2 linked regions of the Arabidopsis thaliana genome follow. The protein of the gene in region 2 interacts with the protein of the main gene of each other region in a biochemical or structural test. Each region holds a gene or a part of one and is shown on either strand. Other genes may lie near its edges.

Region 1 (8,254 bases), on a different chromosome or scaffold from region 2:
ATGCAGAATCCATTTGCTCCTGATTCTAATCTGTATGAAACCCTACCCCATTGGAATCACAAGCATTAACCAGAAAAAGAGTCATTGGTTTTGTGATTTTGATTGAGGTAACTATTGTCTGTATTTTTATTTACTGTATGACTCAGCGACGGTAAACTCTTAATATTATATATATGATTGGACATGATGGAAGAATGTATAAGCTATCGTGCTTCTAAGGCAAATCGAAGTTGAAATGGTCGTAGACGTAATCACGTAAACATGTGCAGCAGCGTAAGCGTATAAACACAAATGTATCAATAGTTACTTATGGCAAACGTAACCGTTTTAACGAAATGTTGAGCAACAACAACTCACATTCATCAGATTAAAGAAATCTGTGCAGCGTAAGCGTGAGTGTAAGCGTGTAAACACAAATGACCCATGACGCTCATTCTCTTCACCATTGTTGATCCGATCAAAACCACCGAAACTGGTGATCCCGTTCGATATCAAAATTTGGTTATGTGATTTTCATCAGAAACATTTAGTAAAATGAAATGTGTCTTTACAGTTGGAAATAAGCTTTATAGAACAAATTTAACCTACAAAGTAAAAACTTAAACATTCTGAATCTAACTAAATCAAATATTTACCTATCCGAAAAAAAAACATACAAACAATTAAGCTCCAGTATACATGGGCCTAAAATAGTATACATGTATTCCCAGTTCCAATGAAAGTATCTTAAAATGAAAGATCTAGAAAATGATATTAATATAACCTCTACCATCTTCTTCTATTGAGATTTAGCACCAGATTGGAGACCTGCTTGTACTTTGCTATGGAAGTGTGTTTCCAACCTTTTAAGAGAAAGAAAAACAAAGTAAATGCACTATTTCATTACTGAATAAGAAGAGAAGAAATGAAATGAAAGAAAAAAACGTCTTACCTGGTTGCACATTTGTAATAAATGGTATCGGGGGAGTTGTAAGTTCTACAATTGTTAAACATCCGTCTCGCATCCGCAACAAACATATCCAATGTCACGTAATACTGTTCCGACTCTACCCTCTTTGCAATTACCTTCAGATCTGTGTTCAAACCATTTTTTGGTTACCAAAGTGATTTAACACTTCTACTTAAAAAGAGGACAAATTCTGGATAATTAATAGCGAAATTGATATTTTAACTATATCTTCTTACCAATGGGATCCTTAATGATGTCATAGTAATCAGGGACATCGCGAGAATCCACTGGTTCTTTGAAAGGCCAAGCATCAGCATGGTCTTGCATTGTCTGTAGCAATTAACTACAGCTTGTCAAATTAAAGGGCATGTAATTGCAATAACATAATATGTAAGAGGACATAATAATTAATAACAAAACAAAAAAGATTTATCACAACCTTTAAAAGCGCACGCATGAGTGCATTCAACTGTTTTTGATTTGTCACCATATCAGCAGAACCATTGAATAATTTGAAACGAGTGTGCCCCCACTGATCTGGGGTCCAACCAGCTTCCCCTGCAACAGTATACCATAATTCATGAATTAGCCAATTCATGTATTACAGATAAACCCTTAGCCCACAGCTAACAAATGCAGGAGAATCTCAAACATGCATATCAACTTGATCTCATGGAGCGACTAGCACAATCTTAATTTTGAGATGACTAGAACATTTTAAAGGGAGATATGTCTATATTTTGGGTAAGAAACTGCAATAACACCATCAAGTAGAATCATAACTTACTTAAGCCACGTATTTCCTCAACTTTGATAATCTTTCTAGGAATTCCAGCTTCATTCTGCAAAAATCATCTCATTTATTATTACTACTGGAAACATTGTATACAATAATAGCCACAAGACATGAAACCATTGATGTTTACCTTTAGAAACTCAATTTTTGGATACACATTCTGACAGTTTGATAACTCTCTTATCCTTTCATCAATTGCCTGATATTATAAAAGTACAACCGGATCAGAAACTGATACGTATAATTAGACAGAAATGTAACAATGGTTACTCGTTTAGTGTTACGTTGCTATGCTCTCTTGAAAGCAGATAGCTTTTGGGAGGGCAGCTTGATTTTTGGGCTCATAGGGGAAGACAGGAATTTCCATTAATTAATTCCTCGAGAGAGAGAAGAGAGGAACTTTCAATAATCGAATCCTCAAGTTTGTATTTCTTATGTTTTTAATTTTTTTCAGAATCAGCCATAATGCTAGAGTTAAATAGTGAAAGTAAAGAAAGTAAACAAATAGCTTCGTAACCTGAAGAACTATTTGGGTATAGATGAACCTGAAGGCTCGAGATATTTTTTCACCACATAAAAGGTATTTTCAAAGGCTTACCTTTCTTTGCTGGCGTATCATGCTTGACAAATCCGTATATGGCAGCTTTGGATCAATTTTGCATTCCATAAGGAGACCACCATCATAGTCTTTAATGAACCTAAGAAAATTTCAAAGGTTTTTATTTGCAAAAGTAAGTTTCAAGATGAAGAAGAGAATGATAAAGACAAGTTTTAAATAGCTCTCTCGTAGCATAATCAGCCACGCAATAAAATGCTTGTATTCTAAGGTTTGTGAGCTTAATTGGGCCAACAAATATTTAAGTTAGACATCATACAGATAAAGCACAGAAGTTAAGAATGGTAAATGAGCAGTTTGAACTTAAGAGATACATAGTTTCCATACCCATGCCATACATCTTTCTCCAAGTAAATCTCTTTAGTAAAACCCTGCACAAGATAATAGACGTAACAGATCAACTTAGTGGACGACTGTAAGAATATAAAAATTACAGTTAGAATCCAGAAAGTAGACTTGATAGCTAAGTGTGGAAACAGAACTTTTAGAAGTGAAACTCTGAGGTATCTCCTATTAACCAATAGAAAACATTACATCCAAAACACAGTTCAACTACTTTTCTGGAATGTACTACAGTTGGTCGAAGTTTGTTGAGAGATTAAAAATAGAGCAAAAAATTGCACAATATACGAAACACCAACCTGCTTGACGAAGTAACCAACAGCATTGTTGTCAGCATAAGTAAGAAAATGCGTCAATCCATCAACATCACGTGCATGTTGTTTCAAGTGGTTCATCAATCTGGTACCGTAACCTTTTACTTGTTCATCTGCTGTGATTGCACAAAATGCTATTTCCCCAAACTTCTGACTGAATCCCAGGGAAACAATGGAGTTAATAAGCATGTCAAGACTGTATTCATGCTCATTATGACATCAGACAGTTTCAGAAATATTCTATAGGAAAAGTAAGCTGTGTTTGATGATAATATAAGATAACAAGTCAACATGCTACTCTCTAAACAGCAAAAAGCTGTATAAGCGTATTCACATACATATGGTGGAGAAAATCATCACTGGGTCAAAAGATGGGAAGAGTTATGCGAAAACCTTACCTGTGATATGGACGATACGTGATACCACCTACAACTAGATTCCCTCTTAGTACCATAACAGACTTATGTTTCCTGGGCAAATAACATAAGTTACAGATATTAGAATGCTTACCATTTGCGATTGTTTGTTACAAAAATTGTCAATGTTTCACTTTAGTTTAGCATGTTTACCTATCCATCAGAAGACGAACAATGTACTCCTTGGGCATATTAGGTAACTGTCTTGCAAAAATGTTCTTCAACCCAATCAAGCTGGAATACATTCAACAAATTATTCATAAAAAACGAGGTTAGAACGAAGAATGCATAGCTGATTAGAAGCTAAATTCAATGGCAGGAGACAAATGATGGAAGGCATTACCACATCATATGCTCATCAATGGAATCATTTGAGTAACAAACAAATTTGAGTCGTCCTGCTTGCTCCTAAATGAAAGATATCACCAAATTTGTCAATGGCGATTCTCTGAACTCATCTAGTAATTCATTAGCATAGATCCAGTGATAAGCTACCTCTCTTTTCAAAGCCTCTTCTCTGGCAATGTAAGCTCCGCTAGTCTGGAAATTCTCAGCCAATACCTTAACAGACTCATCCTTTGGCACGAGCCCTGAGATTGAGCTTCCTCCAACAGTGCCACTCACACCAGTCCCAACCACAGATGATCCACCATCTTTTCCACCATCAGAGCTCTCAAGCTTCACCGTGGAGCTTTCCGTCTTAAGTTTAGTGTTGCGACTCGAACCGTTGACTCCAGAGCTGGAATCGAGTCGAGCGGCGGTGAATGTGCGGATAGAAGAGTCCTGGTCCTGTTCAGGAGCAAATTCGTCCTCGTCATCATCCACGACTATATCCTCTGATTCATCAGGATCTGAATCTGTATCGGCGCCGCGAGCGGAGATGCTCTCGAGTTCATCGTTGGAGGTTAAAGCGCCGTCGCGAGTATCGGCAGAGAAGGAGGAAGGAGGGAAAGAGGAAGAAGGAGGGGCGTGATCTTCAGAAGCGGCTGCATTCGCTGCCGTGGTGGCGGCGAGTTTGCGTTTGTGGAGAGAAGAAGTGACGGAGGCGGAGGCGGAATGAGAAGGAGAAGGAGTCTGAGAACTGCGGGAACGATTGGCGGCGTTGAGGTGGGAAGAGTGAGAGTCCATCGAAGCAGTATAGTGAAGGTGATTGAGAAAATCGTGACGAAATCGAGAGTCTAGGGTTTTTGCTCAGATAATTTGGGGGCGGGAAAGACTACGCCGACGAACGGAATATTCTGGCATCGTTTTTTTTTTTTTGTTTTATTGATCCAACAAATTTTAAACCGAAACTAATTCGGTAATTGTAATTCCTATGAGTAAATTTATGCAGTGATTAAAATGTGATTAACTATATTGGTCGGATATAAACAGTACAATTCGTCGGTAAATTATTTAAAAGTTCAGTATACTTTTTGGATGAACATTAACGTCTTTAATCCGTTTATGTGTTGTTTTATTTTATAGTATGTTGTTAAATTTAACTTCACAAAATTTAATGTGTTTGGAATCTGTTACTAGTATTTAACAAGGAAACACAATTTGCTGGTGACAGATTTTGCTATCTCTAATCAACTTTAGTCTTGAAGTAGTGTTACAACATAAATGGTCAATAGAGCTTGTTTACCAAATGTAAAACGAGGAGAATGACAACTTGATAGTGGTAATTTCTTATAAAAAAACACAATTAGAAGAGGTGTAAGCAAGTGTGGCAACTCTTCTTCCCATATATATATGCAAATCCAAGCTTGTACATAAATAATTAGAGGGACGACCTTATATTTCGACATACAAAGATATGTTTTTATTTTTTTAGGCATTAGACGTTAAAGCACCACTTGACATTAGAATACAACAGAGAGACCAAGTGCAGTCGACAATGCATACAAAAAGGCAGGAAGATCGGAAGTTGATGCGGCTGTGACCAGCTTGTCGTCGGTCACGCACCGTTCAGATTCCACGATCTCACCACCAGCAACCTTCACAGCCACCTTTGTCCCATAACTACTTGCACATCTCTTCTTCTGCAATGTAATAATATAGCATGCCACAATGGGAATTAGATGAGTTATAACAAGCTGGCAAAAATTATAATCTATGCTAAGGAAGTGGTGCCATAAATGTGATGAATTATATCTTACTAACCTTCAACAATATGCTGGAATAATATTAGTCATAACCATAACCATAGGAGATTCCTATGTGCTTAGAGCAACTTATCTTGACATTTTTGTTTCGTTTAAATTAAAATATGGTTTGGTTCGGCTTCAGTTTTAACTTTTAAGTCTTTAGAATAGTAAAACGAATTTTTGTAAAACGGTGTATATTACCTTAAGGGCGCCTGTGGCGGCAAGTAGCCAATTTCCCATTCCAATGGCAGCAACAAACTTGCCTTTCTCAACAAACTTTCTGACCAATTCGACGGCCTTGGGGTTCATCACCAAGAGCTCCGGAGATCTTCCTCCGGGAACCACAATGCAGTCGTAATCATCCACAGAGACATCATCCCACGCAACGGTCACATAGAAGTTGTGACCAAACTTCTCAGTAGGAAGTTGCCGTCCGTCTTCAAGGTCGTGTACGATTGTAGCGCATTTCTCACCTCTCTTCTTGGTTGGCGTCACTGCATCCACTTTACATCCCAAAGCTTGAAACGCTTTAAATGGTACGTTGATACTATAATCTTCAACACAATCCTAAATATACCAAAATTACGTATTAGTCAGACCATTTTTTTAATTCCAATATATAAAGTCTAAAAGAGAGTCTTATGAAAATAAGCTACTTACCCCAATCAAGAAAAGCAAAGAAGTCTGATGATTCTCTTTAGAGCTAGAAATCTTGGAGCCAAGTGATTCTAACAAAACTTTGAGACTATGGCCAAGCGTTGGCCACCCCATAGTGGACATGAAACTGCCGTCCTTGACACAATCAGTGATTTCGAAAAGGGTCTGGACTCCAGGCTGTTGCCACCATGCGCCGCCGGAGAGCTCGATAAACGGTTTCATGCTTTCGAACGCCGTGCACTTCATTCCACCGGTGAGCAGACCTGCCGCCGCAAGAAACAGCTGGCTGTGGCAGCTCGTGAAGATGAGCTTCTTGAGTTCGGCGAATCTAGCAACAAGACTCACGCATTTCTCGTCGGCGCTCAAAAGTTCCGTGAAACGTCCACCGGGAATGATGATGGCGTCGTATTGGTCGGGGATGACGCCATCGAAGTTAGCGTTTAGTGTTAGATGGTCAACCACCAGTTCGGTGTATATCTGTAAAAAGGTAAAAGTCAAATTGAAACTCTTCTTTTTTACTGTTAAGAGTAGGCCCATGCATTTTGGGTTGAGACCACCCAATTATCTAAACTTTTTGGATAAAGATAATAAAGGGGAAAGTCCACCCAATTATGAGCATTTGATCGCATTGTTTTACTAAATATGCAAAGAACGATTGCAAGGGAAAAAAACTGAAATGAAGAAAAAGTGAAAGATTCGAGAAATGCCTCGAGGCCAAGGAGATCGTGAGCGGCCATGACGCACTTGTCGCCAGTTTTGCGACCAGGAGAAACGCAGTGGACGCTAACACCAAACGCTTGGAGGACGTAGAGAGGTACTATAGTCTCGTAGGCTTCCATGAACTCTCCGCATAACATCAAAACCGATTTCTGAGCCATTGATCCCATTGTTTTTTCTTAAGACAAGCACACACAACTAGTGTGTATATATATGAGTTCAAATTATCACAGTGTACTTTTTTTTTCTCCAATAAAAAAAGAGATAAGGTTATATATATAAGTGGATACGTTGCTCTATTTGGAGATTATTAAAAAATAATTTATAGAAAACTACAACAATTTCTATTTCGTTCAAAAAATATAAAGTGGTTTAGTTCGCGATTAGACTAGTTTGCTACGTCTACTCTCACCATTTAAAATTGAAGAGAGTTAAAATAAACACGTGTTAATTGCAAATTCCCTACGCACACCAACCTCTCACCTACTTGACATCTTCTTATGCATAACCCGGGAAGCCAAATAAAAACGGTAAGGCCAGATTAAGTGGGGATGACAAAGAAGTAATTGTAAAAAAAGTTTGTTGCCTCAGAGCCAGCAAAATAAAAAAACGTATTAAGATTTGTTTTCTTAACAAAATTAAAATTGAAAACAAATCTTAAACAATTAATGAAGAAAAGTAAATTACAAGGCTTGCATTTTATGTAAATGGCAGAGTGCATGCAGCAATGAAACTACTTTATTAAAACAATAAAACTTAATATATTCTTAGTTAATTTATATATACATTTCTTCTATTTTTAAAAAAAAATACAGTGTACTCCAAACTTTATCAGAATGGTCGAAAATAATCAATTACCATATGATTAAAAGAACATATAGAATTTGGAAACATTAATCAAAAAAATTATTTTAAGCATATTGTTGGATTTCTTTAAATTGAACGGTAAAAATATTCAACATAGTAAATGATAAATGTGACATGTAGTGATTTTATGTTTTATAGCTTCTCTAATTCTCTCTTATCTTGTTTAGTTCTTTGTGTCACAAGAGACATGCAACGGAAATGATGTAACTCTATAGTCTATGAGTTGGGTTGGGTCGATTAGCCTCATGGACTGCTAAAACCATTCGAAAGCAGACATTTACACTTATTGCATAACGCTTCAAGGTAATTGGAGGGAGACCGGTTTTCAATGTCAAAATGGTCGAATCACCAATCCAGCCATCATGATTCCACAAGTGTGTAACAGTCAAAACATATATATAAGAGTTACTAACGTAGAAACCTTATCATAAATAAAAAAAAGAGGGGAAAA
Region 2 (6,909 bases):
GACCATAGTCAGGACTGGTCCTTTCCTTTCTGTAGGCAGCAACAGGACTAGCTCCTCGGCCATAATCAGGGCTTCCTCTTTCTCTTTTGTAAGGACTAGGTGATCGCCTTCTCCTTTCAGGTGACCTATCACGGCGTCTTTCAGGACTGTGTCCATTTCCTCTAGCATCATCATCCTTCACAGCATACTCCACCGAGATCACCTTATCCATCAGCTTACTGAATGAAAACACAGATGAAACGTGAGTCTAAGAAAGGAAAGTGATTAGATACTAAAATGGACAGAACAAACCTGTTATTTGAAGCATCCAATGCTCTGGTGGCATCCTCTTGTGCCTCGTACTGGATAAATGCAAAATTCCTCCTGATCCTAACGTTTACGATCTTTCCATACGGCTCAAAGTGTTTCTCTAGATCCCGGGTCCTAGTATTATCCGCATCAAAGTTAATCACAAAGAGAGTCTTGGAAGGTCTCATGCTGGATGAGGATCTCCTTGAACCACCACCAGATCTTTTATCACCTCCACGTTCACTCTATATACACAGAACCATTTATGTTATCAGTATTTCAAACCTCATAACTAAGTCTGGAAAGAAATAAATCCTGGGGTAAGTATCCTACCTTTGTCCATTCAACACGAAGTCTGCGTCCCTTACGCCCAAATTCAAAGCGGTCAAGTGCTCGGATGGCATCTTCCGCATCCCTTTCATCTTCCATGTATACAAAAGCAAACCCTGGAGAAAAAAGAAAAAGCCAAAAGCAAAGATCTGAGTACATTAACAGTGAGGAAGTGGACCAGATTAAGAACCTTCAACATACACGAACACTGTCCTCCCTCCTTCAACGCCTAACTTAACTCCTAGAACATATTAAATTTTGAACATTCCTAGAACCTTAAAAAAACTCCAAATGACCAGTGAAGCAGTTACAGACCTTGCATTATGGAATTAATATGTCAAGGAACAACTGAAAATGTGGAAGTCAGACGGGGATATGAATGAAAATAGAGAGCCTTCTCCATTGCAGAGGCATGTCCAAGTGTGCAAAGTGATGAGGAATGAAATGCAATTAAGATGGCAGTGCTAATGCGGATGGAAAGTGACTGATTTTGAGGGATAAGAGATGGATTTCCCTATGGTCCATTCATGGCCAGGTGTGAGTATAGGCGTCCCAAGATTATCAAACACATCCTGCGTCAAAGAAAATGCGGTTTTACACTAATTTTTTTTCTAAAAATCTTATTCCTCTGAAGTACTTTCCAAAGTTCAAGCAGGCTGCATCAGGTGGCCAGGTGAATGTGGTCAATGTTTAGTACTCCTTCCAAAGGGAGATAGTCCACCAGAGCCTTCTCGTGGATGGAATGAAGACGAGAGTGGATTTCATGAAATGCATTTGAATTTCGCTTTTTCATTGTACTTAGTGGATAACAATACTGCTTATTATAATTCATTCAGGTTAACCACAAAGACAGAGTAGTAAGAGGCAGAAGAAAGAAAGAAAGAAAAAAAAGGCTCACCAGCTTTCATATCAACCCTCTCAACCTTGCCGTATTTCCTGAATAGTCGTTCCAGGTCACCTTCGCGCGCATCATACTCAAAGTTCCCACAGAAGACTGGCTTCATGCTTCCTGTATAGACAACCACAATAGTAAAAAAGATTCATGAGACTTCCTTAAATGATAATTTAAACACGAATATCACAACTAATTTGTCACCAAGATGAAAACTTTTAACACTAAAAACTAGAGCCCTCACACTAAATCGAATTGTTTTGCAGTAAATTAGGACTTGAAACTCATCTATTCGAGCTCCAAATCAGTTAAATCTAGGAACTGAACTAGACAGTATTAGAATCAAAAGTACAATGCAACAGATCTAATCTAACTACAGTTAGATCTGAATATCATTCACAAGATAGAGAAAACGAGAACAATCCACGAAAGCATGAATCTTTCATACCAGAAAAACAAAGAAGGCTCTGATGAGATTCAACTTATAAAAAACGAGATGGACCAATTCTCTTGTTCTACTTTTCACCAACCAAAAAAAAAAGAAGGAAGAAGGAGATGAGAACCACGACGATATAGAGAGTGAATAAACTGCATCAATTTACCTGTAGAATGATTTTGGCAGGCGTAGTCGCGTGGAAGCCCTAGAAGAAGAAGAAGCTCGCGTCGAGAGATAGGTGAAACTGAAAACAGAGTTAGGTACGATTTAGATAAAGAAGGCAAGAGAGATCATTTGGATTTTTATTTTATTTTCTTTTCTTTTTAGTTTCAAAGATATTTTTTTCAGAACACATTTTGACTTTCTTATTTTGTCTGAAGGACGAGAAGTCGAGAACGTCTACTTTTTAGGAGTATTGGGCCTATATGTTAAACAAATTATAAGAAGCCCAACAAGTAAACAAAATTGAAGCTGCTTTCTAAAAAAACAAAACAATAACAGATTATGAAGACAAACAAATATTAGATTTTTTAATTTTGATTAGAATATACTGATTAATAGAACTAGAACATGTATCACATAACATCTACACAATGAATAATGCATACAAGTTTTTAAAAAGTCTTGCAACTTAACACTCTCAAGATCCCACATGTCAAGTTTTGGATTCGATGAAACATATGAGTTTGTTAGTAAGTTTAATAATTGTTGTTATAAAGAAATGTGTATATTTATATATTACAATTAATTAAATAAATTGTTTTCCTCTTCATTGGATTGCTTCACTTATGTTAAGAGTTTAGTAGTTGCTTTCAAGGCCGAATGATATGTGGCCACGAACATATCATCACACGTGGAATGAGAACGAGTTTCGACTTTTCAAATATGCCATAAAGCCTCAATTATCTTCTTATCTCGCTTGAATATGCAACAAAAAGCTATTAAGATATTCATAAAATAGAGGCGTCTCAAATCTACCAACAAAAAGCTACAAAAGATCCAGTCCAATCCACTGAAGAATCCCAAAACAGAGTAGAAACCCAAACAACCCGATTCAGCAAATAATTCAAAAACGAACGTCCGTACGATTTTCCAAAAACAGAAAGATGGGTTCCACAAGATAATGCGTGGGGACGTCAAAATCCTCTAAACCCGTGGTTCGGCCGCGGAAACACTGTCCCTACCTTCCCCACCAGCCTTCACTGGCCCCATACGTCACTCTCAAGCTTTACTTTCTATTTTCCACTAAAGCCAATTTTGTTGTTTTCTTCACCTTACCACTCTTTTTTTCCCTCTTTGTTGTGTCTTCTTTTCTCCTAAATGTCAATAACGTGAGAGCGAGAGGTAACGAGAGAGATATTTTTGTCAGCGAATATATTTCATGCATATCTTATTGTGAAGATTTTTTATACCTTTTTTTTGTCAATACAATATAGCTATTATTGAGATTGAGATATTTTGTGGGAATTATTGGGATTCAAGATAACTTGCTATTTTGTATTGGTCTAATCCTTCGCTTAGTCCTGTCCTGGTCCATTTACATGTTTTTGGTTATAGTTTGTTTAAACTGAATAATTTTGTTCATCATATGCATTTATGACTCATTTTTAACCGTCCATCGAAATTGATAATTATCCATTACCAAATCTGATTAATTTTTTTAAAAAATCAAGCTTTTCTATATTGTAGTATTATTTTTGGTTAAATATTAGGACATCTACTTCCAATACAAATACTACATGAGTATTTAAAATATCATTTCACAGAGATATTTATGTCTATTATGTTATAGACGGGTGACAATTAATGACAATTTGTTTATTCATAGGAATTTAAAAACGATTGTAACAACAGCAGCCAGCCAACCACACAGGCACACACTCGATAGAATTTAAAGAACTCATAAAGGTTAACGAGTGAAGAGTCAAAAGTCTCTTTACAAGGGTCAAAGGACACACGTCAGACAGCGAGTGGAACATCGTGGGATTGCTTCGCTATGTACTATACACGTGTCATTCACAGAGACAAAAACTCCGTGTGCTCCCCACATATCCGTTATCTCTCCTCCGGCCAATATAAACACCAATTCTCACTCTCACTTTTTATACTAACTACACACTTGAAAAAGAATCTACCTGAAAAGAAAAAAAAGAGAGAGAGATATAAATAGCTTTACCAAGACAGATATACTATCTTTTATTAATCCAAAAAGACTGAGAACTCTAGTAACTACGTACTACTTAAACCTTATCCAGTTTCTTGAAACAGAGTACTCTGATCAATGAACTCATTTTCAGCTTTTTCTGAAATGTTTGGCTCCGATTACGAGCCTCAAGGCGGAGATTATTGTCCGACGTTGGCCACGAGTTGTCCGAAGAAACCGGCGGGCCGTAAGAAGTTTCGTGAGACTCGTCACCCAATTTACAGAGGAGTTCGTCAAAGAAACTCCGGTAAGTGGGTTTCTGAAGTGAGAGAGCCAAACAAGAAAACCAGGATTTGGCTCGGGACTTTCCAAACCGCTGAGATGGCAGCTCGTGCTCACGACGTCGCTGCATTAGCCCTCCGTGGCCGATCAGCATGTCTCAACTTCGCTGACTCGGCTTGGCGGCTACGAATCCCGGAGTCAACATGCGCCAAGGATATCCAAAAAGCGGCTGCTGAAGCGGCGTTGGCTTTTCAAGATGAGACGTGTGATACGACGACCACGAATCATGGCCTGGACATGGAGGAGACGATGGTGGAAGCTATTTATACACCGGAACAGAGCGAAGGTGCGTTTTATATGGATGAGGAGACAATGTTTGGGATGCCGACTTTGTTGGATAATATGGCTGAAGGCATGCTTTTACCGCCGCCGTCTGTTCAATGGAATCATAATTATGACGGCGAAGGAGATGGTGACGTGTCGCTTTGGAGTTACTAATATTCGATAGTCGTTTCCATTTTTGTACTATAGTTTGAAAATATTCTAGTTCCTTTTTTTAGAATGGTTCCTTCATTTTATTTTATTTTATTGTTGTAGAAACGAGTGGAAAATAATTCAATACAAAACAAATCGTTTTCTACTTCTTTGCTTCACATAAGTTAAAAGTCAAATATTTAACAAAAAAGATATTAAAAGTCATATTGTAGTTGCTTTCAAGGCAAAATATGTGGACAGATCATTACACGTGGATGATGTTTGTAAATATGCCACAAAACCTGCATTACATTATTTTATTCTATCTCATGTAAGTTACAGATCTTACAATTTAGCAACAGAAAGCCACAAAATATTACATAAATTGGCTCGTCTCGAATCTAGCAACCAAAAAAATTCAGCCCAGTTCACTATAAAGAATATAAAAAAAAGTTTCCTAAAATAGTGTATAAAACCGAAACAAACTAATTCAACAAACCCGAAATAAACAAATCCGTACGACAACCAAAAATATCTTTCAGATGGGTTCCACAAGATAACCCAGTGCCAATCAGAATTCTGAAAGCGTGGCTCGACCGCGGAAACCATTGTCCATACCTTCTCTTCTTTGTCCCCCCTTACGTGGCTCGCTGTGGAGTCTCGTACCACGTGTCGCGTCACTTCACTCTTTACTTTCTATTTTCCACTAAAATCATAATTTGTCTTTTTCTTGACCATACCCACTCTTTTTTCTTCTCGTTGTCGTCTTGCTTCTCCTAAATATCTCAAATAACGTGAGAGACTTGAGTGTGAGAGGTAGGTAACGAGGCAGACTTTTTTTGGAAGCGAATATAACTTATGCTGATATTTTATTTAGCTTTCTGATTGGAGTTGAGATATTATATAGGTATTATTGAGATATTATATACGTATTATTGAGATTTGAGATATTTTGTAGATTTTATAGTTCTATCGGACTAATTCTTGGCTTAATCCACTAACATGTTTTTGTTTAGTTAATTAAACTGATTATTTTCTGCGCTATAGTTTTGTTAAACACCTTTTAGACGTAACAAAGCAATTACGCTTGATCATCCATCGTAGACTCTTTTTCTTTTTTTACATCTCATAGAAGTTTTGTTTAAACACAGCAGGAAGTAAATTATTTTCTTATTACGTACGTATGATTGTTTTTAGACTATTTTAGTACTTTGAGAAGTAAAATTGGGGATACGAGATAAAAGACAATTGATTAACATGCTTTTTATTTTGACTTCCGAAACTAATCATGGTTGTCTATGTTTATAAATTGTGTTCTTTTTGTTGAAAAACTCAGATAATGATTAAATCAGTAGCGAATGGATGGAGAACACATGATTTTAGATTGCATACCGTAAAACAAAAAAAATCATGATGGATGTAGAACATTCAAATGGGTCAAATAAATACGTATGTGATCAAAAGAAAGTATGTGATCAAAAGGGTTAGCACGAGTACCTTGGGAGGAAATTCTTCTAATTATGAATTATGCAAGAATTTTCGTCAAGGGAAGGTGGGGAAGAGGTAGCTAAAGAATAGAGAATCATATGACTAAGGACGTGGTGGTTGAAGGAAATGAGAGAATACATGAAGAAGAGAAACTTCTTTGAGTGAGAAGGAAGTGCGCTGGCTGGAGAGAAAAGAGAGAAAAGAGTTTCGAGTGAGAGAGAGGGCGTTGAGATTGTGATCAACTTAATGTAATATGTTCTTTTATTACATTTTCTTTTTGTCATATACTCAAACCTTTTACTATTTTGTCTCATAAATCTAACACACCCCACCATTTGTTAATGCATGATGGTAGAAAATATTAAATATAATTAACTACTTTTATGTGATCAAAATTAGGTTTCAGACTCGTTTCGCGATCCGATCTACAATTACAACTGCATGCTTCTAATTGATCTAAATTCTAAATTTTTTATACATATTAAAAAAACAACTTTTTGTTAAATTCTCAATCATCATTTTTGTGATTAACAATTTTTTATAACTCTAAACCAATAATATTTGATTATTTATTTT

Evidence for each region.
Region 1: the proteins of CBF1 (region 2) and HAG1 form a complex in vitro, tested with the Arabidopsis thaliana proteins (one study listed by BioGRID).

Annotation. Positions count from the first base shown.
Region 1 is NC_003074.8:20,209,900-20,218,153, reverse strand, and holds HAG1 (histone acetyltransferase of the GNAT family 1), read right to left. Parts: upstream 4,749-8,254; 5' UTR 4,562-4,748; coding exon 3,929-4,561; intron 3,842-3,928; coding exon 3,777-3,841; intron 3,668-3,776; coding exon 3,587-3,667; intron 3,488-3,586; coding exon 3,416-3,487; intron 3,172-3,415; coding exon 3,003-3,171; intron 2,733-3,002; coding exon 2,689-2,732; intron 2,444-2,688; coding exon 2,344-2,443; intron 1,945-2,343; coding exon 1,876-1,944; intron 1,792-1,875; coding exon 1,737-1,791; intron 1,508-1,736; coding exon 1,389-1,507; intron 1,280-1,388; coding exon 1,186-1,279; intron 1,074-1,185; coding exon 932-1,073; intron 843-931; coding exon 779-842; 3' UTR 501-778; downstream 1-500. Other genes in the region: BZIP25 (basic leucine zipper 25), read left to right, coding at 1-69; DJ1F (Class I glutamine amidotransferase-like superfamily protein), read right to left, coding at 5,278-5,457, 5,764-6,129, 6,223-6,696, 6,927-7,106.
Region 2 is NC_003075.7:13,019,881-13,026,789, reverse strand, and holds CBF1 (C-repeat/DRE binding factor 1), read left to right. Parts: upstream 1-3,793; 5' UTR 3,794-4,227; coding exon 4,228-4,869; 3' UTR 4,870-5,010; downstream 5,011-6,909. Other genes in the region: RS40 (arginine/serine-rich splicing factor 35), read right to left, coding at 1-218, 292-533, 622-734, 1,517-1,622. UniProt on the Arabidopsis thaliana protein: Transcriptional activator that binds specifically to the DNA sequence 5'-[AG]CCGAC-3'. Binding to the C-repeat/DRE element mediates cold-inducible transcription. CBF/DREB1 factors play a key role in freezing tolerance and cold acclimation.